4 linked regions of the Macaca mulatta genome follow. The main gene of each other region encodes a partner of the protein of the gene in region 2 in a complex. Links are inferred from orthologs where the notes say so. Each region holds a gene or a part of one and is shown on either strand. Other genes may lie near its edges.

Region 1 (6,558 bases), on a different chromosome or scaffold from region 2:
AAATATGTAGCACATTTTTCAGCTTAAGAGACAGATGTTAACAAGACAGCTATTCAAAAAACAAAAAAAAAAGTGAAAATTTCTTCCAAGCAACAATAATCTTCATATAGGCTTATCTTATTTTACAAACTGATGTACTCCTGAAAGGTTCTGTCATAACATGAATTTATGTGAACTACTTCATACTTCATATGCATAAAACATGTTTTTCATTTTTAAAATTATGTGATATACAGTACCTTTTAAATACTATATAAATCAGCATTCTCTAATTTCTCCATTTTCTTTTGCTTGTGGGAAGGAAGGGACTAATGTATTTCACATAAAATACATTAAGAGGATGTAGGCCAAAGTGACTTCTTGGCTCATTAGCCTGGCAAAGGTTTCTGAAGACCCTTAAGAACCATGTCCTCCATGGTATCACTACTGGAAATCTTGGACAACAATGAGAGACTAATGGCAGGGAAGGAATTGAGTATCATTTATCTTAATATCCTTAGTAGTATCTAGCACAATGCCAAATACTTGATAGTATTCAGTAAGTAATTGTAGGGTGGCAGAAGGAAAACAGAAACAAAAGATACATTAATTTTAAGAAAAGTATTAATAAAATCCTAACTTGAAAAGCATTTGATTATGTGATAAATTTTGCAGTGCAAATTAGATGTGTCCCTTCGGAAAAAATATCTGTATGAATGATTATTTACTACTCATGTCCACTTTCCAACACAGACTGTGGTTTAGGCTTTAAAGCAAAGGTTCTCAAAGTGTGGTCCATGGACTTATGCCGGAACAGCTCCTAATGGTTAACATTAGTTAACCATGGAAATTCAACGCATTTAAGTACCTTCATTGCAATTTGACAAAATAATTTTATGTCTATTGAATCTAATAGTAAAAAGTTAAGTGTTGGTCTTTTCCTCATCTTTTCCAGTGATCCATTTTCATGTTATCTTACAAAGGTACCAGTGTGAGACGGACAGGAATTTTTTAAAAACTCCTTCAACATAAGACAGCTTGGAGCAACTCAGTGGCTGAAGATGTAAATTCTCAGATACTCTCAAACTTTTACTACTTCCAGTTACAATTCTCATAATGGGAGGGGAGATATTTCATGTAAGGTTCTCAACCCCTGACTAATTCTCAAAAATTACAAGTAATACCTGAAATCAAGTATTATTTATACATAAATAAGAAAACCTTAGTTAAAAGATTTACCTAAGGTTAAAGAATTCTCAGTGCAGAACTTAAGCTGACTCTCAATGTCAATTCTTTCTATAAGGTGACAGAACATGTTAGAACTCATTCAAGAATACGTGTTCACAAAAAACTGCAATAAAATAGGAACACCTTTTATAGCTTAGAACTCCCTCTATTCACATATCTATGATCTTCAATACCAAGTCTACTTTCTTAAACTCAAAATAAGCAAAACAGAAAAAAAATTTTTTTAAACTAAGTTATTTAATAGATTTACTGGTGATCAAATTGGTTCAACTTTAACTTGCATTTTACAGAACTATCTCAGAATGCTTAATTTGTTCAGACAAGATAAAGCAAGGTGGGAAATGAACAAGTGAAATGTCCTAAAGCAAAGTCCAGTTCATTAAACTTACCACTAAAAACTCAAACTTCAACATGTGAGAATCATACCACTTTAAAATGTACATTATTTATTCCACTTGGATATATTCTACATTCCTAATCAATGCTGACAGAAAAGTATAAAAATGTCCTATCTATTATGATTAGTGTACAGGAACACACTTCAAACACCTAAAACATATAAACCTTAAGAATTTCTTTAAAAATTTAACCTCTCAAAACAAAACTTCTTTGGAATAATTAAGCAATATGAGATTATAAATGTATAAAGTCTACAACCCCAATTAGGGAGAATTCTTGGGCGAAAATGTAGATTCTTATCCACCTAACAATAGCATAATACAAAAAAAAGAGGTAAAATTTTAAGACTATAACACGTCAATACATGATTTTCAAAAACAAATCATCTTCATTACACAATGGAAATGCTTTTTCACTATAGCTTTCTGACTCACACATTAAACTGAATTTAGCATATTCCAAAGTTGAATTATTTAGCATACTGCTTGCTACAGCTGCACTTCTATTCCATCATGTCAATCAGAAATCTAAATATATCCTAGAAAAGAATTAACTCTCCCCAAGAAGACAGACTGTAATGTGTTATTAGGTTTTTGGAACGATCCCCACTTCTGTAGTGTAAACAAATATTTAGGCAGACCCTGTTGAAATCTTTTGCAATTTTCATTAGAAAGGCAATGTTGATAAAAAGTTCTTTTTCCTTTTTATGAGTTGTAAAAAGAAATTACAGCTATCTGTGCTGGATAATCTTGTGAAAGACTTATGACAGCAATCACACATACAATGTAAAAATAAATACACAAGAGAAAAAACAGACAACTTGGCTTTCATTTTACTTGCTAGAGTATTCAGCACATCAAGTAGAAAAAAAAAAAAAAAACTAGTACTAGTTTTAAGAATCAAATATGCTTTTTCCTAGGGATTTTTCTCCTTATGTACTGAAATGGCAGGATATATTTTAAAACTACTTTCAAGACGTCATAAAGGATTAAAAATCAATCATTTAATCCTTTTGTCAATACTGACAGTAAAATATTGGATATGGTCAACATAAGCAGATGTGTTCTCTACTTCAGTACAACAGGCAAGTCACATTTTAAAAAGTTAAAGTATAAAAATTAAGTGACAGACAACCACCTGCCTACCAAAATGATTAAAATTAACCATTTTTTCCCTGGTTTCACAAGCAATCAATACTTTTAATTAGATTATTACGAAAGGCAAGTTCTCACTTCAAATTGAGAACAACTCTTTCACAAGAGTACATGTAAAAATATCGCAAAAGGTACATTCCCGAAACATTATGACTAGTAAATATGTTTCTCCTCTCTGAAACCATTAGAATACAGTCCCCCAAATCCCTATTACGGGACCACAACCTTTTCAGGATAAAAGAAACTGTTGAAGCTTTCAGAAGTGCTGTTCAATAAAAGCCTAAGTGTATGCATCCAAATAAGAATGACAGCAGGAAAGGACGGGGAAATTTTCCGTTTAAAAAAAAAAAACTTGCATAAACTTTCAATCAAAGATTTTAAAACTTATCTCCACAGAATAGAACAAAGCAAACGACATAAAGGCAAACAAAAAGAAAAAAACAAAAATTTAAAGTTCACCCTTTTCTTACAGAATGGACCAGGAGTGCTTTCGTAACTCATTCATGAACGTACCATCAAACCATTTTTAGAGCAGAAAACATACCTCCTTTTATTCAACAACGATAAACTTGACAACGTTGAACACATTGTATATTAAGAATTTTTTAACTCATGTGTTCAGAAAATAAATCTTTTCCTCTACATTGGTGAAAGGTCAGGTGGGGAAGGGGCGCTCTGTCTCCATCCATACTTGAAGTTCCTCTGTCTGAATTTTTAATTTTCCAAGGGAGAACTTCTGCGTTCCTTAATTATTATCTAAGTTCAACTTCAGGCAAGCAATTCCTGTTGCTTCGGCTTACCTGGCTGTAAAGTGAGATCACTCTTTATGTTTTGGGGACGTTGACCTAAATGTTTGCACTCCTTACGTGTATTCGCTAGATGAAAAGTACTGCAAGAATGCTACAAAGGGATTGTTTTTAAAGCACGGGCTACCTACATGCCAGTCTGGCTTTTTCATTAAGTTACTTACCAGTGAAGAGGAATGAAGGCTTTGACATGAAAGCGTCACGCGATTAGCAGACTGCTCCCCTAGACCCTCATTCAAACCAATTTCCACACATGACTTACCTTGTATGACATGTTCTGGTGAGATGGTCTTCTTTTCCGATTTGTTACAAATCTCATTGGCTTCAGAAGATATAAGGTGAATGAATTCAGTGCAGCAGTTCACCACCAGCTCTCGAGCATCGTTGGCCACCCGGACATTAGGAAGAGTCTCTTTGATCATTTTATTGATAGCAGCTCTGGGGATAGTGAGATCATCATCGTTGCCAGACGAGGAAGCCATAGTACCTTCCTGTTTCTCGCGCCCCGGCTTTTAAAAACTCCCCGGCTCTGGTCCACTACTCCACGGAGATCTCTCAAAAAGCCGCCCTCGGAGAGTGATCCCGGGGGGTGCTTCGCGAAGAGGGTGCAGAAAATGAACGGAGGAGGAGCTGGCTTGAGGGCTGGGAACGCTCGCGTGTGTGAGAGATTTAGGATGAGTTTGGGAAGAAAGTGGGGGCCTGAGGATTCTAGAGAGAGCACAGCCCAGGCTGAGGGGAAAGCGCGGTGGTCCGGAAATTTGAGCGGCTGGGGAACCACCTTCGGGTCTCCTCAGAGGGGCGGGCACTGTCGCCTAACTGGTCCCCAACGGCGTCGAAGAGGCAAGATCCAGGGGCACTGGCCTCGCCGCGGTACCGGGCGGGTACCCAGCGGGCTCGGCTCTATAGAGCCCGAGGCCCCGCTGCCGCTGCCGCCGCCGCCAGCAGCCGTTGCCGCCGCCTCGGCCAAACCATCCTTCAGACACCCGCGCCGCCGCCTCACAACATGTCCGCCGCTGCCGCTGCTGGAACGGCGACGGCCGCCTGGGAACTAATATGGACAGAGCCAGGCACAGTGGGAGTCGCAGTGGCTGCCACCGTGGCCGCGTAACCCGAACGCAGATCCTGGAAGCCGAAGCGGCGGCAACGGTGGTCCCTCCAGAGGCCAGGGAAGATTTGCAGGAAGCCGCTCCCGACACCCTTTGCGCCGCCGGAAGCTTCGTTCCTCAGATTTCCCCCTCCCTCCCGGACCGACTTCCGGATGTGGCTGCCGCCCTTCCCCCACCCACGCTGACGGGAGCCGCCCGTTCCCGCTGCCAGCAGCTTCCGCCTGCTGCGGTCCTGGCAAGCACCTCGGGATCCCATTCCTTCACAGGGGCCCTAGCCGGGCAAGCGCGCGCGTCACTGTACCGGAGAGCTCCAAGCACGCGCTTGGTCAGGGGCCCGGACGCTAGATCTGGGAAGGGGTGGTGGCTGGCTAGATGGGCGAGGAAGGATCGTCTCTACCCTCTCTCCAGCAGCTGAGGCCTCCGAACCCATCCCTAGCCGGATTTGGGGACAGAGGAGCGCTGGTATTGATAAAAGAACTCTCTTTGCTATTCTTTTAGGAGCCCAAATGAGGATTGAAAGTGAGAAGAATGGGGCCTGGGCTTGGGAGTGGGAGGTGGGGAAAGCACAGAATCCCGTGTGCCTGTTTCTGCGTCGTCTGGAGAGAAAGCTTTTGAAGATGTCTAATAGACCTTATTCGGGTAAAAGCTCTCTAAAGTCCTCCACCTTTTTTTTTTTTTTTTTTACTGCATGGAAAATGAAACAGAGAAGTTACTTGCCTAGAGGCGACTAAGTCGCCTAATAGATAAGGAGGAAAGTAGAAGTCAGTTCCAACGTAGTGGAAATGCATGGCGTACAATGAGCCGTATTAGAAGGTTCCCATTTAGACAGTTTTCATGGTGTATTCCATGTTGGCTTCTACAGGGGAAAAAAATGTTAGAGCATCTTAACTGTTTTTGCTTCTTTCCATAGTGACTAGTAATATCAACAGGTGTCAAGATCTAAACAGAAATTGCATTTTAAAAAGTGTGTCAGCCGGGCGCTGTGGTTCATCATACCTGTAAACCCAACACTTTGGGAGGCTGAGGCAGGGAGATCACATGAGCCCAGGAGTTCAGGACCCCCCTGGGCAACATGTGAGACCCGTCCCTACAAATATCTGTGTGTGTGTGTGTGTGTGTGTGTATTCATTCCAATATCCCACTGTTTATAGTATAGCCTCTTCTCCCATATGACAGTATGACACTCTTACGGGTTTTTTTTTTCCACCGGGCTTGGTGGCAGGCACAGTAGTTCTGGCTACTCTGGAGGGTAAGGTGGGAGGATCGATTGAGCCCAGGGGGTCAAGGCTGCAGTGAGCTGCGATTGTGCCATTGCATTTCCAGCCTGGGTGACAGAGAAAGAGTCTTTGTCTCAAAAAACGTTAAAAAAAAAAAAAAAAAGACAAACTAAGTTTGTCATACTGTCGTGTGGAATAAGAGGCTATATAAATAGTGGGATGTTGGAATTTCTAAAAACAAGACACCGTTTAAATCCATTTTGTCACTTTGGTTCATCAGATTCATTACTCTTGATGACACCTGGCTTGTTGACAATGTTTTCTTAAAACATTCTGTCTGAGCCCTGTATGCTGTTCTCAAGAAGACATTACAGTTTATTACTCTATTTTTTCATTTAGCATTTTCTCCAGGACCACTTACTGGTTCTTTAATTTCTGAAGTGTGGACACTTGTTTTTCAGTGCTACTAAATTTAGTCAAAACAAAATTTCTTTGATTAAAAACAGTATTTTAATTAAATTTTCTTCAGGCCGGGCATAGTGGCTCATACTTGTAATACCAGCACTTTTGAGAGGCCAAGGTAGGCGGATCACTTAAGCTCAGAAGTTGACCAGCCTGGCTAACATGGTGAAACCCCACCTCTTCTAAA
Region 2 (5,892 bases):
TCAGATTTGGATTGCTCAACCCATATCTAAATTTTAAAATAACTACTCAACTTTAGTTTCCTTTGCTAATTTATCATTATGCATAGTATCATGTTCAAGAAAGAGAAATGTTCAATGAATGCCCTAACTAAAAAAGACTTAGATATCTCTTGAGAAAAAAGAAGTTATACTGCAAATTTAAACAAATAAATACTGTCTTTCACCTACTGGAACTGGTAAACATTAAAAGTTTAGCCAGGCGTGGTGGTGCACGCCTCTTAATCCCAGCACTTTGGGAGGCTGAGGTGGACAGATCTTGAGCCCAGGAGGTGGTGGCTGCAGTGAGCCAAAAAAAAAGTTTGATAAAGCTCAGTAAATGTATGGGGAAATGGGCATTTTTATGGGCATTTCAATGGGCACTTTTTTTTGGGGGGACAGGGTCTTGCTCTGTTGCCCAGGCTGGAATGTAGTGGTGTGATCTCGGCTCACTGCAACCTCTGCCTCCCGGGTTCAAGCAATTCTCCTGCCTCAGCCTCCTGAGAAGCTGGGATTACAGGCATGCACCACCACACCCGGCTCATTTTTGTATTTCTGTACAGATGGGCTTTCATCATGTTGGCCAGGCTGGTCTTGAACTCCTGACCTCAGATGATCCACCCACCTCGGCCTCCCAAAGTACTGGGATTACAGGCATGAGCCACCACGCCCGGCCTTATTACAGTTTCTTGGAGGATAATTTGGCAATCCTGATTAAAATTTTGAATGAATATGCCCTTTGATGTAGGAACTCTGTTTCCAGGAATTTATCACATTTTCACATGTACACAAATTTGTAGAATTGTAGCACTGTTTAAAGTAACAAAAGGTCAGGCGTGATGGCTCACGCCTGTAATCCCAACATTTTTGGAGGCAGAGGCCAGAGGATCACTTGAGCCCGACAGTTCAAGACCAGCCCAGGAAACATAGTGAGACCCTATCTCTATTATTTTTTTTAAATGTTTTAATTAAAAAATAAATAAATAAAACAACAAAAAGGTAGAAACAACCAAGATGTCCATCAACAGGAGAATGGTTTAACAAATTATCACATAATTATATAATGGATGTAATGAAATAAAATAGGGTAAATCTACATGTACTGTCACGGAAAGATGTCCAAGACATACTGGTAAGTGTGGCAAAAATGGAAAACTCATATAGTATGAGTCCATTTTACTTTTTTTAAAAAGTAAGAAAATGCTTAAATCTGCAGAGATCATTTCTGAAAGTATTCACAAAAGACAACAGTGGTTACTCTGGGAAATGAAATTGCAGGCAATAGGCAGGAGGGGGAACTTTCATACTTTACACCCTTAAGTACTATTTGATTTTCTTCCCAATTATATTAAAGCTCATCAGTCTGGTCCGGTGGCTCACCCTGTAATCCCTGCACTTTGTGAGGTCAAGGCAGGTGGATAGCCTGAGGTCAGGAGTTCGAGACCAACCTGGCCAACATGGCAAAAGACGTCTCTAATAAAAATTTTAAAAAAATTAGCTGGGCATGGTGGCATGTTATTTGGGAAGCTAAGGCACGAAAATCATTTGAACCTAAGAGGGAGAGGTTACAGTGCGCCAAGATTGCACCACTGCACTCCAGCCTGGGTGACAGAGTGAGACTCTATCTCAAATAAATAAATAAACAAACAAGCAAACAAATAAATATAAAAATTTAAAAGCTCATTAAAAACTTTTTAGATCATAAAACCAGATCAATATGTGATAGTAAGAAGTTACTCTTAACATCTTTTTAAATATGAAAATGGCATTATGGTCAGGCTGCAAAAAGGAAAGAATCCTGATCTCTTAGAGATAGTCTAAGATATTTAGAAATGAAATGTTGATTCCTGGGATTTGTTTCTATATAATCCAATAGTAAGAATGGGGAAGGTTGGGGGAAAGTATTGAGGATTTAGATAAAATGAGACTGTCAGGAGTTAATGTCAAAGTGAGGTGGAAGGTACATGGGAATTCATCATGTTATTTATTAAGGGAATTTTAAAACATCTTTTCACCTTTGTGAGAAGTTTAAAAACAAAAACCAGATGGAAAACATTGAACCTTTCAGATACCCTGGGAAATTTATAGAAATGACAGCTTGATTAGGAAATGATAAAATGTTTTTATGTGGCATTTATTTCTAGCACACACACAAGTATCATCACAGAAGTATTAAGCAGAGTAGTTCCAGAGAGGCCTGCAAGCCATGCCCAGTGGAAGCAGGAGTGTCTCCTGGACTCACACCTGCTTGGCTCTGGTCTGACTAGCATCTTTTGTACTGTTCTCACAACAGTACCTTTTATTTTCAAAGTAGAGGCAGACAACTTCTCTCCTTCAGGTTTCATCGTTGGGGGCTTGTTATGAACAAGTTTCCACCATCCCGGCTCTCCAAATTCCTGAGCACCTGAACGGAAGTACATGGGACTTCCCACGCTGAGGCAACCTGCCACGGTGCTCCACCAGGTGGACGTCTTTTTCCTAAAGAGTCCAAGAATTTGAAAATGATTGGCACTTCAATTTGCTCATTATACAGAAAAGACAGTCTGTGTATACTGTGACTCCCGGCCTGCAACATGCAATGGCACCTCCAGCTACTGAAGGAGCAGAGCACGAGAGGCAGGAGAGAGGCTCTGGAGTCCACCTGCTTCAAACCCTGGCACTACCAACTTCTAGCACCCTCGGTTTGTTCATCTGTAAAACCAGGATAATAGAACTTACCTCACAGGGTTGCTAGGAGGATTAAACGAAATAATTCAAACAAAGCATGTAAAATACTTCTCATCACAATCATCACGATTATGGAATTCTACAGGCTAATTTTAATTAAGTTGCTTTTTTATGTGAATTAAGCACAGCTCCCAAGAATAAACCATACAAAAAGTGTAACTCCAAGCCTGGGCATTTTGTGATAGAAGTTAATCACTGGCTCCAGTGAACAGCTGATTTTACCCGAGAAGTCGCACACATTTCTCAATCTGATCCTATCTGCCTTGAAGCACTAGAGTGGTAACAAAACTATGTGGCATGTTCCACAAGCACCTACTGCACGACAAAATAACCAAAATGTACAAAATGTCAACTATTTGGGGTTCCCTGTTGAAAATTCTTTTAAGGCAACTGTTCTATTTCCACCTTGAAAACATAAATCGAATGCCAAAAATCCTCAAAGACAGTCTTTCACAAGAAGACCAGTCTAACAGTTTGAAGATAATGCTGGGAAGGCAAAGGAAAAGCATTCTGAGGAACAGCGATGTATTATTAATAGAAAACACAGAAAATAAATAAGCTAAGATACAGTAGGCATAAGCACTATCTGAGGCCGGGCATGGTAGCTCACGCCTGTAATCCCAGCACTTTGGGAGGCCAAGGCGGGTGGATCACCTGAGGTCAGGAGTTCGAGACCAGCTTGGCTGACATGGTGAAACCCCGTCTCTAGTAAAAATACAAAATTAGCCAGGTGTTATGGCACACGCCTGTAATTCCAGCTACTTGGGAGGGTGAGGCAGGAGAATCTTTGAACCTGAGAGGCGGAGGTTGCAGTGAGCCAAGACTGTGCCACTGCACTCCAGCCTGGGCAACAAGAACAAAACTTGGTCTCAAAAAAAGCACTGTCTGAGATGGAGAGAATGAAACCCCCAACCTTTTGGTCCCAAAGTACCTATCCTACATTCTTCTCTTTTTCTAATCTTTCCAAACCCTAATACAAAATGTAACATAAACACATACAATAGAATATTATTCAGTCTTAAAAATAAAGGAAATCCTGTCATATGCTGCAATGTGGATAACCCTTGAGGACATTATGCTAAGTGAAATAAGCCAGTCCCAAAAAGACAAACACTGTATGGTTCTGCATATATGAAGTATTTAGAGTAGTCAAAGTCATAGAAACAGAAAGTAGAAAGGTGACTACCTAGAGCTGTAGGGAGGGGAGAATGGAGAGTTATTTAATAGGGATAGAGTTTCAGATCTGCAAGCTGAGAAGAGTTCTGGCCATCTGTGAATCTATATTCAAATATGTGAATATACTTAACACTACTGAACTGTACACTTAGAACTGGTTAAGATGGTAAATTTTCACTGTTTTCACTGCAATAAATAAACAAAAGTTTGGCAAACAGACCTCATTTCTACAAAAAAAACCCAAAAATTAGCTGGGTGTGATGGCACGTGCCTGTGGTCCCAGCTACTTGGGAGGCTGAGGTGGGAGGATCACTTGTGCCTGGGGGGTCAAGGCTGCAGTGAGCCATGACTGTGCCACAGCACTCCAGCCTGGGTGACAGGATGAAATCCTATCTCAAACAAAAACAATAAAAAGATTGACAGACTCAAAAGATTTTAAAAACCAATGTGTTATTTAGTGTGTGGAAAATGGGTGCGTACTTGTACATTGACAGTGGGACTACAAACAGGCATATACTTTCTGGAGGTTACTTTCATAATGTACAGCAAAATTGTGTGTATCCTCTGACCTCACAAATCTACTTCTAATCATAAAAACACAAAGGATATATATACAAGAATATTCCCCACAAGGCTAACTTAAACACACAAAAACTGGAAACAATATAAATCTTTATAAAGTTATTGTCCAGTGTTACAGATTTAATTGTGTTCTCCCAAAAGATGTTGAAGTCCCAGTACTTGTGAATGTGACCTTACGTGCAAACAGTGATCAGGAGGTCATGAAGTTGAACACTAATCCAATATGACTGGTGACCTTATACAAAGGGGAAACTTGGACAGAGAGACAGATGTGTAGAGAGGGAAGATGCATGAAGACACAGGGAGAATGTCATCTACAAGCCAAGGAAGGCCTGTGGCACAGAAGCTAGGGAGAGGCATAGAACATTCTCTCCCTCACAGCCTTCAAAAGGAACCAACCCTATCAACACCTGGATTTCAGATTTCCAGCCTCTAGAACTGGAATACATTTCTGTTGTTTAAGCCATCCAGTTTGTGTTACAGCATCATTAGCAAACTAATAGAGCCAGCTAAATCACAGCACAGACACATAACAAAATATTTGCATAAAATGGAATAAATTTATTGCCAGGACATATATAAACACAGTATTTATGAATGGCCTAAATAGTTTTCCCCCAATGGCCGGGCGCGGTGGCTCAAGCCTGTAATCCCAGCACTTTGGGAGGCCGAGACGGGCGGATCACGAGGTCAGGAGATCCAGACCATCCTGGCTAACACGGTGAAACCCCGTCTCTACTAAAAAATACAAAAAACTAGCCGGGCGAGGTGGCGGGCGCCTGTAGTCCCAGCTACTAGGGAGGCTGAGGCAGGAGAATGGCGTAAACCCGGGAGGCGGAGCTTGCAGTGAGCTGAGATCTGGCCACTGCACCCCAGCCTGGGCGACAAAGCGAGACTCTGTCTCAACAAAAAAAAAAAAAAAAAAGACCAGCCTGGCCAACATGGCGAAACCCCATCTCTACCAAAAATACAAAAATTAGCCGGGCGTGGTGGTGTGTACCTGTAATCCCAGCTACTCAGGAGGCTGAGGCAAGAGATTCGCTTAAACCTGGGAGGCGGAAGTTGCAGTGAGCCGAGATCGCGCCACTGCACTCCAGTCAGGGCAACGAGAGTAAGACTTTGTCTTAAAAAAAAAAAAAAAAAAAGTTTTCCCCCAAAATTATTATTGTGGTAAAATATACATAACATTTACTATCTTAATTTTTAAGAGTAGAGTTCAGTGGTATTAAGTACATTTATATGGCACAATCACCACCACCATCCACCTTCAGAACGCTTTTCAAAGGGCAAAACTGAAACTCTACAACCGTTAAACAACTCCCAATTCCACCCTCCCCACCCAGTGCTGACAACCACCGTTCTACTTTCTGTATCTGAGATTTTCACTACCCT
Region 3 (5,372 bases), on a different chromosome or scaffold from region 2:
CATCTTTCAAATGTTTAATTTGTAACCGTGTAATGAGAGGTGACAATGTGCTAGCAGCCCTCACTCTCTGTGCCTCCTCGGCCTTGGCGTCCACTCTGGCAGCGCTTGAGGAGCCCTTAAGCACACCACGGCACTGTGGGAGCCCCTCTCTGGACTGGCTGAGGCTGGAGCCGCCTCCCTCACTTGCGGGGAGGTGTGGAGGGAGAGGCGCGGGCGGGAACCGGGGCTGCGTGGGCACTCGCAGGCCAGTGTGAGTTCCGGCAGGCGCAGGCAAGGGCTCGGGAGCCCCATAGGGACGCCGAGCGGCCGGCTGGCACTGCTGGCCCAGGGCAGTGAGGGGCTTAGCACTGGGGCCAGCAGCTGTGGAGGTTGCGCCTGGTCCCCCAGCAGTGCCAGCCTGCGGGGGCTGCACTCAAATTCTCACCGAGTTTAGCTGCCTCCCCGCCGGGTAGGGCTCTGGACCTGCAGCCCGCCATGTCTGAGCCCCCCAACTGCAGTGGGGTCCTGTGTGGCCTGAGCCTCCCCTATGGGCTCCGCCCCCTGCTCCGTGGTGCCCGGTCCCATCCACCGCCCAAGGGCTGAGGAGGGAGGTGCGGCTGGGGACTGGCGGGCAGCTCTGCCTGCAGCCCAAGTGCAGGATCCACTAGGTGAAGCCAGCTGGGCTCCTCAGCAGGGTGAGGACTTGGAGAACTTTTCTGTCTAGCACTCTGTGTCTAGCTCAAGGATTGTAAATGCACCAGTCGGCACTCTGTCTAGCTCAGGGTTTGTAAATACACCAGTCAGTACTCTGTGTCTAGCTCAAGGTTTGTAACTACACCAATTGGTACTCTGTTTATAGCTAACTCTGTATCTAGCTGAACCTAGTGGGGACTTGGAGAACTTTTCTGTCTAGCACTCTGTCTAGCCCAAGGATTGTAAATACACCAATCAGCTCTCTGTAAAGTGGACCAATCAGCAGGATGTGGGTGGGGTCAGATAAGGGAATAAAAGCAGCCTGCCCGAGCCAGCAGTGGCAACCCGCTCTGGTCCCCTTCCATACTGTGGAAGCTTTATTCTTTCACTCTGCAATAAATCTTGCTGCTGCTTTCTCTTTGGGTCCATGCTGCCTTTATGAACTGTAACACCACGAAGGTCTGCAGCTTCACTCCTGAAGCTGAGACCACGAACCCACTGGGAAGAATGAACAACTCCAGATGCGCTGCCTTTAAGAGCTGTAACACTCACCACGAAGGTCTGCAGCTTCACTCCTGACAGTGAGACCATGAGCCCACCAGAAGGAAGAAGCTCCAGACACAGCTGAACGTCTGAAGGAACAAACTCCGGACACACCATCTTTAAGAACTGTAACACTCACCACAAGGGTCTGCGGCTTCATTCTGGAAGTCAGTGAGACCAAGAACCCACCAATTCTGGACACAATAATGTATGTACTGCCTAATAACTGGGGTATTGTAAAGGTGAGGCTCTCAAAAGAGAGGTACTATAATTTCTTTGTAACATCCTAATTGCTGTCCAAAACCAGACCTGGTTTTATAATATTAGCTAACATTTACTGAGCAATTCCCTTGAGACAGACAGTTTCAAACATACATGATCTCACCTCTTCTTCATAACAGTAAGGTAGTTTCTATTACTGTCATTCCCATTTCACAGACTGGGAAATGAGGACAAAGACAGATTAAGTAAGTTGTTCAAAGTCACACAGTCAATAAAGGGATAAAGCTGGATCTATTGTTTATTTACATGAATACTGACATCTTAGAAATTAAGAAAAACAAGTTCATACATCCATTTAAAATTCATTTCAGTCAATAAATTTTTGTTGAATGCCTATTATATGCAAAGTACTGATTTAAACTAATAAACTGGTTAACACCAATGTTACAAATATAAAGTCCTTTTAAAGTATCAATATCAAAATAAATTTTCCTTTCTGTGGTCCACAAAAGAAAAAAGATGTACCAGCACTTTTAAATTAAGTTTTTCAATTTCCAAAATACCTCCTTTAAAACAGAAGGGAATAAATTCCAACAATGCTATTTTCAACACATTCATTATTTAAAAACTTACTGGAATATCTGAAGATTACTTGCTGCAAGCTGGACTCGTGAAAATAAACCTTGACTTCACAGAGAAGTCTACATTGATAAATATATATCCGTTGAATTAATAACAGTGTAAGTTACACATATGTATACAAAAAAGTAAAATGACAAGGATGGAGAGGAGTTTTTCATGGAAGGTGGTGGGTTGCCATGGATTCTGCTTCTCTTGATTTTCTGAGGAGGGCTTGTTTGAGGGCACTAATTTTCTCATCAAGTTCAGCCAGTGAATAGTTCTGCTGTAAACAATAACGACACAAATTGCTGAATAAGATTCTGAAGTATCTTAATGCAGATAAAGTGCCAAATGAACTATAAATATTTAAAATATTTAAAAGCATGATCAAATGGGTTTTTTTCCCTCATGAGAATAATCTTAAACCTGCACAACTATATATGTTGACTATATCATAAATTTAAAAGCATAAAATAACAAGGCTTAAATATTTCTCTTTTCTAATGATTAAGCTCTCCTGAACCTTTTATACTTTGAAAGAATAAGTTTACAAAAAAAAAAAAAAAGCCTGATTATTAGACACTGGAGCCTATTTGAAGATGGGAGGAGGGAGAGGACTGAAATATTGCCTATCGGGTATTATGCTGATTACCTGGGTGACAAAATTATCTGTACACCAAACCTCCGTGACATGCAATTTACCCATGTAACAAACCTGAAAACCCCTTGAGCTTAAGTAAAAGTTGGAAAGAAGAAGAAAAATGCTAATTATACTACTACCAGGAGAAAAAAATCATTTGAGATATCAGCTATCCCTTTTAATAGAAAACTTTCTATGTTGATTACTAAAGTTAACCTGAAGTGGAAAACAGTGAAGAAAACACTCCTTTTGCTTTCCAATAAAAATTGGATTTGTTCAAGTCTATCTATGTGAACACCCTCACTTGCATTAATATTTCTAATTTAGACACAAGTATTATGTGGTGACTATTAGGGGGTAAAGAGAAAGGGAAATTGGGACTGAGTGCTAATAGGTACAGGGTTGGGGCGGTGATGGAAATGTTCTAGACTTAGTGGTGATGGTTGTACAACATAGTGAACATACTAATAGCCACTTTAAAATTATGAATTTTATGTTATGTGAATTGTATTTTTAAAGCAGCAACAAAGTGTTACAGTTTACTACATAAGAGTAACTTTTAAAAACCTGATTATTCTCATAATCAATAGTAAAAAAAGTTAACTTTAAAAATAACTGCTTAAAATACCTAGAAATTCTCTCTTGAGGGATCAACTACAATAATTTACTTCTGGAAAAAATAATTGCTATCAAAAAATTTACTCGGAATTTTTTAAGAAAAAAAATGCTACTCTTAAAAATTAGAAAGTCTTCTCCAACTTTAAATTCACATTACCACTATTAAAGTCTAGCAAAGCCTTATTATTTAAGGTTCAACTAATTAGTAAAGTAGCACTTTAGACAGGGCCAGCTGAAGTCAAACTCTGCCAAACACCCTTTTTGATGTAGATGCTACTAATCAGAAGTGTTCACAAAAGGAAGGGATGGGGGGAGACTGAAATTACTTGAGCACTTACTATTTTTAAGCACTTGATGAATGACACATCCTTGTACTACTAAAAGCAGGACAAAGGTTTTATTTATTTAACCTATCTGAGTCATTCCATGCCCTTAAAAGAATTTTTCTATTCAAGTATATTAGTTTATACTGCCCTTTTCTTCAGTCGTAAATTGTACCAGGGTATGACCTAAAAGCAACCATAGTAGAAACTTTTATTAATAAGAAAGGTATAAAACTAATCAAACTATTTCAGAAACCAAAATGAAAATGCAGTAACTTACTTGAGGTGGTTGAACTTTTCTTCTTTTTCCAGAAAAGCTCTAGATTTTAAAAAAAAGTAATCAACGTTTAAAAAAATCTAAGCATTATTTTTTTCTTTATGAAATACCGTACAAATTACGTACAGCCTTGGGAACTCTGACAGAAAGAAAGCCAACCAATTTACCAATACCAATTATTGTCTGTAACCAACATCCACCTTATATTCTGCAAGTTACCCTCTAAAGAGGATGACATTAACAATATATAATAATAATACTGCAGCAACATGCTTATCTTTGGCAATACATATTTTCCCATCAATTACCAGCTTCTAATGAGCCTGGGTGATTGTGGAAAGAGGTGCTCTGGGGATTTTCTGCTTAGTTTTTTTTTATAACCTTTCCATCCCAGGGTGTTGAACAAGCGAAGTGACAATAGACAAAGGAAAAATATAATCTGGTATATGAGGCCAAGAGGTGAAAACACACACACACACACCCTGGACTGACTATAATGGACACTGTGGTTGTTTATGCAAGGAGCTACCTATCCACTGCTTCTCTGTGTGGCCCAAGCCAATGGCTTCCTGGTCTTATCAGTGACTGAAATGGGCATGGGTCCAGTTCTGGCCAATGAGTAAAGGAGAAGACTGCTGGAGATTAAGAGGAGAACTTCTGGAAAAAGCTTCCTCACATCTTTTGAGAGAAAGCCCTCAAAGAAGGCAGTTTCTCAGGATACTGCTGTATCTGGGTAAGACACCTGAAAGTGCTGTAGCCATCTTGCCATCTGCCTGGGAAAGAAGGTAACACCAAGCAGAGTTAAGAGGGGAAAGAAACCTATTTTCTTACAATTATGATTTAGTCACTGAATCAATTAAATCTGAAGCTTGTGCTACCATGGACTTCCTATTTTATAGTTTACATAATGTTTAAGCCAATTTTGAGTTCAAATTTCTTACAGTTGAAGCTGACAACATTCTCATTGATCCACTAATGAGCCTTTTAAATCTTGGTCTAATGAATTCTTCCTAGACTTTTTCTTAGTTTCACACAAGCACTAGCTTTTAAATGGCAAATTAGTAAACTAGTATATTTAACAAACTGAATCTCAGAGACAAAATGTTCTCATGAGCATTTCTGACTATTGAAATTTTGAAGATAGCATTAAAACTCACATTTTCCTTTGTGTCAAAAGTTGATTCAAAGAACATCTAGGTATGCTTCTTATCAAGTTACAATAAGTTGGAAATCATTAAGTATTAGAATTAGTAATTATGAAATAATAGAGTTCAGATAATTATGCTCCTTCCTTTGCCAAACCAAGCTGCATACCTGTGGTAGGGCCTATGGGCAAATAAGGAATCAATGTTTAATTTGGCAATTGATCAGTCTCCTGACTTCCTAAGAGGTGGCTTTGTATACACTTAATGCAAATATAATTCCCCTTGGCCAGGCGCGGTGGCTCATGCCTGTA
Region 4 (6,632 bases), on a different chromosome or scaffold from region 2:
GGCATAGTGGCACACACCTGTAGTCCCAGCTACTTGGGAGGCTGAGGCAGGAAAATCACTGGAACCCAGGAGGCGGAGGTGGCAGTGAGCCGTGATCATGCCACTGCACTCCAGCCTGGGGAATAGAGCGAGACTCAGTCTCAAAAGAAAAAGAAAAAAGTTTCATTTTGGTGAATATTTGGGTAAACAGTTCAAAGTTTCAGTTTTATCAGAACTTTACCCTTCTCCCCCTTGACTTCCCAAGGTGGCCTACAGGATACAGGGGAAGCCTCAGGGCAGCATGGGAGGGGAGATCTGTGTGCAGGATTGTGAGCTGTAGCCTGAGTTTTCACTGGCCTCTGCTGCTATGTCTCTGGTGACTTCCAGTCTCCACTGCCCTGTGGGCATCAGCTGCTGAGGTGGTTGGCTGGCAAGCTCATGACCTGTTGCTTTAGCATCTTCACAGAGTTTGATGTCTCATCTTTCATCCCCAATCTACCATCCCTGCTCTTCTCACCAGCTGACTTAGGAGTGCTTCAGCTCCACTGGTATCTTCAGTACTGCCCATCCTTGGGGTCTTAGCTACATTCTGTGGCCATTCCCTGGCCATCAGCCTACCACAAGGCCTTTGCTTTAGGAAACCTGCCCCTTGGCACAGTGCCTATTGGTCTGTCCGTGGCTCGTAACCATGCTACTTTCTTTTTTTTTTTTTTTTTTTTTTGAGACGGAGTCTTGCTCTGTCGCCCGGGCTGGAGTGCAGTGGCCGGATCTCAGCTCACTGCAAGTTCCGCCTCCCGGGTTTACGCCATTCTCCTGCCTCAGCCTCCTGAGTAGCTGGGACTACAGGCGCCCGCCACCTCGCCCGGCTAGTTATTAGTAGAGACGGGGTTTCACCGTGTTAGCCAGAATGGTCTCGATCTCCCGACCTCGTGATCCGCCCGTCTCGGCCTCCCAAAGTGCTGGGATTACAGGCTTGAGCCACCGCGCCCGGCAACCATGCTACTTTCTGCATGCCAGGCAGGGAGCAACAAGAGAACTCTGGAATTCTGACATACCTACTGTGCAAACTGCAGTGCCCCAGCAGCACTATTGCAGACTCCTCCCAATGCCATGGCCTGCTCCCGAGCCCTGCTGTGTGAGCCTTCTCACAGAATTGGACAGCCTTCCAAGCTAGACCAGGGGAGGTCAACTTCTAGCTTCCTCAGCACTTACCTGGGTATTTCTATGCTTCCCACCTGAGTGTTAAACCCCAAGAGTAGGGGAACACCAACACACTCATCCTGATCTCTGACCTCACCCCCTTCTCCATGAAATTTATGTTTATCTCCCCAGTTCCTATTATCTCTTGAGTCTTAGCTTAAGGTTCAAGGAAGCCTTTCTTAATTGTTTTTGTTTGTTTGTTTGTTTGTTTGTTTTGAGACGGAGTCTTGCTCTGTCGCCCAGGCTGGAGTGCAGTGGCCAGATCTCAGCTCACTGCAAGCTCCGCCCCCCGGGTTTACGCCATTCTCCTGCCTCAGCCTCCCGAATAGCTGGGACTACAGGCGCCCGCCACCTCACCCGGCTAATTTTTGTATTTTTTAGTAGAGACGGGGTTTCACCATGTTAGCCAGGATAGTCTTGATCTCCTGACCTCGCGATCCGCCCGTCTCGGCCTCCCAAAGTGCTGGGATCACAGGCTTGAGCCACCGCGCCGGGCCCTGTTTATTTGTTTTTGAGATGGAGTTTCACTTTTGTTGCCCATGCTGGAGTGCAATGGTTCACTGCAACCTCCACCTCCCGAGTTGTGATTCTCCTGCCTCAGCTTCCCAAGTAGTTAGGATTACAGGCATGTGCAACCATGCCTGGCTAATTTTTGTATTTTTAGTAGAGATGGCGTTTCACCATGTTGGCCAGGTTGGTCTTGAACTGCTGACCTTAGGTGATCTGCCCGCCTCAGCCTCCCAAAGTGCTGGGATTACAGGCGTGAGCCACCACGCCCATCCAGGAGGATCTCTCGAGCCTGGAAGTGTGAGACTAGCTGTGGTGATAGTCAGACCTGTCTTTAAAAAAAAAAAATTAGTCTGGGGGTGGTGGCTCATGCCTGTAATCCCAGCACTTTGGGAGGCTGAGGAGGGTGGATCACCTGAGGTCAGGAGTTTGAGAGCAGCCTGGCCAACATGGTGAAACCCTCTCTCTACTAAAAATACAAAAATGAGCTGGGCGTGGTGGTGCATGCCTATAATCCCAGCTACTTGGGAGGCTGATGCAGGAGAATCACTTGAATCAGGGAGGCAGAGACTGCAGTGAGCCGAGATCATGCCACTGCACTCCAGCCTGGGCAACAGAGGGAGACTCTCTCAAAAAAAAAAAAAAGAAAAAAACCACAAAAAACAAAACACCATTTACATGTATTATGTGTAGATAAAAACATTAAATACATAAAAATTTGATAACATGTAGGTAAAGTATTAAAAAATCAGCTCCAGTAGTAAATCTTTATACAGTGAGGAGGGATTGAAGGGGAACAGAAGATCCCCGAAGACCAGTTGGGAGGCTATTTATAGTCCTGGGCAGAGAGATGACAGGGTCTTGGGTAGAGGGTGGTAGAGTTAGAACGAAAGAGAATGTTGGCCTCAAGAGATATTTAGATGGAAAACTGGACTTGGATTGTCACTAGTGTGACTGGGATAAGTCTCAAGCCTTCCCTGCCTCAATCTCTTCATCTGTAAAATGGGCTAGCAATAACTACTGTTATTTGTATACGCAGCACTTAGCACATGGGTTGGGACAAAGATGGCACACACAAAAATCATTGTTACTATTGTAATTAATAGGGAAGCTCATACATACCGGCAGAATGAATATTCTGTCAAACTTGGGGTTGAAATTCGCCACCTTCTGGGGCAGAAAAGTGATGGACAACCACGCCTTTGCGAGAATCGACGCCCACACTGCCCAGGAAGTGGCCTCGCGGGCCGGGGTCGCAGCCTGGACCAGCCCCGCCCCGCCCCGCCCTCATCCCTGCGAGCTCCGCCCCGAGGCCGCGCGCGCGCGCCGCCGCCACCACCGCCGCCGCGCGCGCCCCGACGCGCCCGGCTGCTGACGTGCGGGGCGGAACGGGTCGGGCGGGTTCCACCGATCTGGGTGCTTCCGCGGGCTGCGGGGGTCGCTGGGGTTTCGTGGCTGGGCAGCTCCGCGGGGCTTCGCCCGCTCCCTCACCTCGCTCTACCCTCTCGCGGCGCCCGGCGGGGCCGCGCTGCAGCTGGAGACCCGGAGAAAGGGTGAGTGTTGGCGGGCGCAGGAAGGGACCGCGCGGGCGCGCGCCCTGCTGTCTGGGGCATTGTTTGGGCGGGGGCGGCGCGGGCACGTGCGCGCCCCTCCCCCATCGGCCGGCTGCGCCGCGGCGGGACCCGGTGAGGCCCCGGGCCGGAGGGGAGGGCAGGGAGGATCCCAGGTGCGGGCCGAGGAGCCGCAGAAGCGGGAGCCTGGAATCGGAACGTGAGTTGGGGGCTTCCTCTTCAGCGGGGCGCTCCGCTGAGGGGATGCGGGTCCCCGAGCCTCAGCGGCCGGAGGTTTCGGGATGTTAAGCTCTTGGCCTTGGAGGCAAGATTTGGCCCCAGGACCAGAAAGTCGTGGGTTTACCGAAAGGATCCTGGAATGCCCCTCCAACCTGTCGCCATCCCCACCGGCCCTCCCGGGATGGAGGGGAGGGGTTAGAGAGGCTTTGGGGTTCCAGGGAGGGGGCCGGGGCCAACGCGCCGGAGCTGCGGGCAGTGCGGGGCGGAGTGGAAGCCTCGGAAAGTGAGGACTCCTGCAGGAAAGGCTGGCTTGGAGGGCTGTGGCCAGACTGCAGAAGACAATGAGGTTCTCCCCATCATGAATGTGATTATGTTAAGAAATGGAAAGCAGAGAAAGAGAAATGCCATCAGCGATCTTATAGGCCTGACACATCATTTTTTTAGTTTGATGTTTGCTAGTATTTTCATCTAAGCCTTCAGCAGTTACAGAGTTGACCCACGTTTTCCATTTCTCGCTCACATGTACAAAATGCGCCATAATATCATATAGTATTCAGCAATATCATTTCCCCTTAATGAGTAGAGAGTATTCAGCGTAGAAAAATTTAAAAATACAAGCAAAGCAAGAGAAAAATGCCCGCAGTTTTACGGTCTAGAGATATTACCCTTGGATGTATATTCCTGTTTGTGTATACTCTTTAAAAGATAGGGCAGATGATGCTCTGATTAGGAGTTTAGTTTTTCCGGGAAACCTTTGAAGGTTTTGAGAAGGCGAGTAGCATAATCCGACTGCTATGTAGAGGAAGAGGGCTGGGGAGGAACCTACGAGGTCAGTTACTGTGCTCTTTGCAGTAGCTTAGACTAGGCCCATGGCAGGGAGATGGGGAAGTGTAAACAGATTTTTAAGTGTTTTGAAGGTAGAATGAACAAGACTTGGAAATGAATTGGTGAGGGAATGGTGGGAGTCTTTGCTTTTTTGATTTTTGTTTTGAGCACCTGAGTGAATGGTGGTGCCGTTTACTGAGATGAAGAATGGAAGAGAGAAATTTGAGGTGGGAAAAATATCGAAATCTATTTTGGATGTATTAAATTTTAGATGCTTATTAGTTATGAAGTCGGTGTGTTGAGGCAGTTGGATGTAGAGGGCTGGAACTCAAGGAAGAGAGAGGCTAGAGCTAGAGATAAAAATCGGAGTGGCTGGGCGCAGTGCTCACACATGTAATCCCAGCACTTTGGGAGGCCGAGGCAGGTCGCTTGAGCCCAGAAGTTCTAGACCAGCCTTGGCTACAAGGCAGGACACCGTCTCTTAAAAAAAAAAAAAAAAAAAAAATTGGAGTGATCAGTACATAGATGACATTCAAAGGTATGGTGCTGTGTGAGATCACTGAGGGGAAGCGTGAAGAAGTGAAAGGGGCTCAGACACTCAAATACCTGTAGGTCTGGCAGAGGAAGAAGGTTGAGGAAAGGACACAGGAAACAGCAAGTGAGGTAGGAGAAAAAGCTGGTATCATGGCAGCCAAAAGAGATATTTCTGGAAGATGTTGAATTGGTCCTTTTATCAGGGCTTCTGAGATGTTCATTAAAGTTGTCAATTGGATTTGGCAACACGGAGGTCATTGGTTTTGGTCATTGGTCTTCCTGTCCATAGTTCTGGAAGTGGAAGGTGGGAACCAGACTAGAATAGTTTAATGGAATGTGAGGAAATGAAACTAATGAGTGCAAATTAGAAAAAAAGTGCCCCTATTTCCATCTGCGCCAAAACTAAACTGGATCGATGAAAAATGATGTCTTGTGTTTTTTTCATTTATTGATTACTAGTATGTTTGAACATTTTTTTCACATTTATTGGCTATTTGCGAATTTCTTTTCTTGTTCTCTGGCATCTTTTGTTATTTCCTAATTGATTGTCAAAGGTTCTTTAGATATTAAAAATAGGTAGCTTGACATACAGCATTCAGAGCTCTCCCCACATGTTTTTCAGTTTCCAATGCTTCATGTTCATTCAGCGGATGCATGATAGTTTGCGGTGGGTTATTTTTTATTATAAAATCCATAGGAAGAGGAGAACTAACATTACGTTGTAGATCTCTGAGTGCAGCCCACGTATGATGTACATTGCTCCGTATTTCCTTAGGATAGATTCTCAGAAATAGTTGGTCCTGTCCTCTTCTCATCAACCATGGATTTTTACTTGAATGTTCGTTGCCACGTTCTTGGATTGTTCCACATCTCCCTGCCTTTGGTCCTGCTCTGCTTTCAGTCTGTTTTCTATCATGATAGAAAGTAGATGGTGGGAGTTGATGCAGTTTTCTCACAGAAAACAAGACTTATGAAGCAGATTTTTTCTTTTTCTTCTTTTTCTTTGTTTTTTTTTTTTTTTTTTTTTTTTGGAGACAGAATCTCAGTCTGTTGCCCAGGCCGGTGATCCCAGCTACTTGGGAGGCTGAGGCAGGGGAATTGCTTGAACCCAGGAGGTGGAGGTTGCAGCGAGTGGAGATCGCGCCACTGCACTCCAGCCTTGACGACAGGGGGAGACTTCGTCTCAAAAAAAAAAAAAAAGGCGGATACAAAAAGCCACGTGCTGTATGATTCTATTTATACGAAGTGTCCAGAAACAGGCAAGTTTATCGACACAAAAAGTAGTTGCCAGAGGTTGAAGGGAGAGGAGAATTGAGAGTGACACTTAAGAGGTAAGCGGTTGCTTTTTGGAGTGATGAAAACATTATGGAAGTAGATAGTGGTGATTGTTGTGCAACTTTGTGAATATATTGAAATCCACTGAATTGCACACTTTTAAGTGGTGTGTGTGTGTGTCTATATATATATATATATATTTTTTTTTTTTTTTGAAATGGAGTCTTGCTCTGTCGCCCAGGCTGGAGTGCGGTGACACTATCTTGACTCACTGCAAGCTCCGCCTCCTGGGTTCACGGCTTTTTCTGCCTCAGCCTCCTGAGTAGCTGGGACTACAGGCACCCACCACCATGCCTGGCTCTTTTTTTTTTTTGTATTTTTATTAGCGATGGGGTTTCACCATGTTAGCCAGGATGATCTCGATCTTCTGACCTCGTGATCTGTCTGCCTTGGCCTCCCAAAGTGCTGGGATTACAGGCTTGAGCCACCGGGCCCGGCTGGTCAATATATATGTTTTTTGAG

Evidence for each region.
Region 1: KAT14 (region 2) and DR1 share a complex: the UniProt entries of both Homo sapiens proteins name them as parts of the ADA2A-containing complex. The link is inferred for Macaca mulatta from reciprocal best matches to the Homo sapiens genes KAT14 and DR1.
Region 3: KAT14 (region 2) and MBIP share a complex: the UniProt entries of both Homo sapiens proteins name them as parts of the ADA2A-containing complex. The link is inferred for Macaca mulatta from reciprocal best matches to the Homo sapiens genes KAT14 and MBIP.
Region 4: KAT14 (region 2) and YEATS2 share a complex: the UniProt entries of both Homo sapiens proteins name them as parts of the ADA2A-containing complex. The link is inferred for Macaca mulatta from reciprocal best matches to the Homo sapiens genes KAT14 and YEATS2.

The regions. Positions count from the first base shown.
Region 1 is NC_133406.1:146,923,941-146,930,498, forward strand, and holds the start of DR1 (protein Dr1), read right to left. Parts: upstream 4,251-6,558; 5' UTR 4,069-4,250; coding exon 3,849-4,068; intron 1-3,848. UniProt on the Homo sapiens protein: The association of the DR1/DRAP1 heterodimer with TBP results in a functional repression of both activated and basal transcription of class II genes.
Region 2 is NC_133415.1:65,841,363-65,847,254, forward strand, and holds part of KAT14 (cysteine-rich protein 2-binding protein), read right to left. Parts: intron 2,494-5,892; coding exon 2,312-2,493; intron 1-2,311. UniProt on the Homo sapiens protein: Component of the ATAC complex, a complex with histone acetyltransferase activity on histones H3 and H4. May function as a scaffold for the ATAC complex to promote ATAC complex stability. Has also weak histone acetyltransferase activity toward histone H4.
Region 3 is NC_133412.1:109,417,789-109,423,160, forward strand, and holds the end of MBIP (MAP3K12-binding inhibitory protein 1), read right to left. Parts: intron 3,959-5,372; coding exon 3,920-3,958; intron 3,826-3,919; exon of another isoform or gene 3,655-3,825; intron 2,342-3,654; coding exon 2,234-2,341; 3' UTR 1,718-2,233; downstream 1-1,717. UniProt on the Homo sapiens protein: Inhibits the MAP3K12 activity to induce the activation of the JNK/SAPK pathway. Component of the ATAC complex, a complex with histone acetyltransferase activity on histones H3 and H4.
Region 4 is NC_133407.1:95,833,572-95,840,203, forward strand, and holds the start of YEATS2 (YEATS domain-containing protein 2), read left to right. Parts: upstream 1-3,029; 5' UTR 3,030-3,239; intron 3,240-3,323; exon of another isoform or gene 3,324-3,456; intron 3,457-5,873; 5' UTR 5,874-6,166; intron 6,167-6,632. UniProt on the Homo sapiens protein: Chromatin reader component of the ATAC complex, a complex with histone acetyltransferase activity on histones H3 and H4. YEATS2 specifically recognizes and binds histone H3 crotonylated at 'Lys-27' (H3K27cr).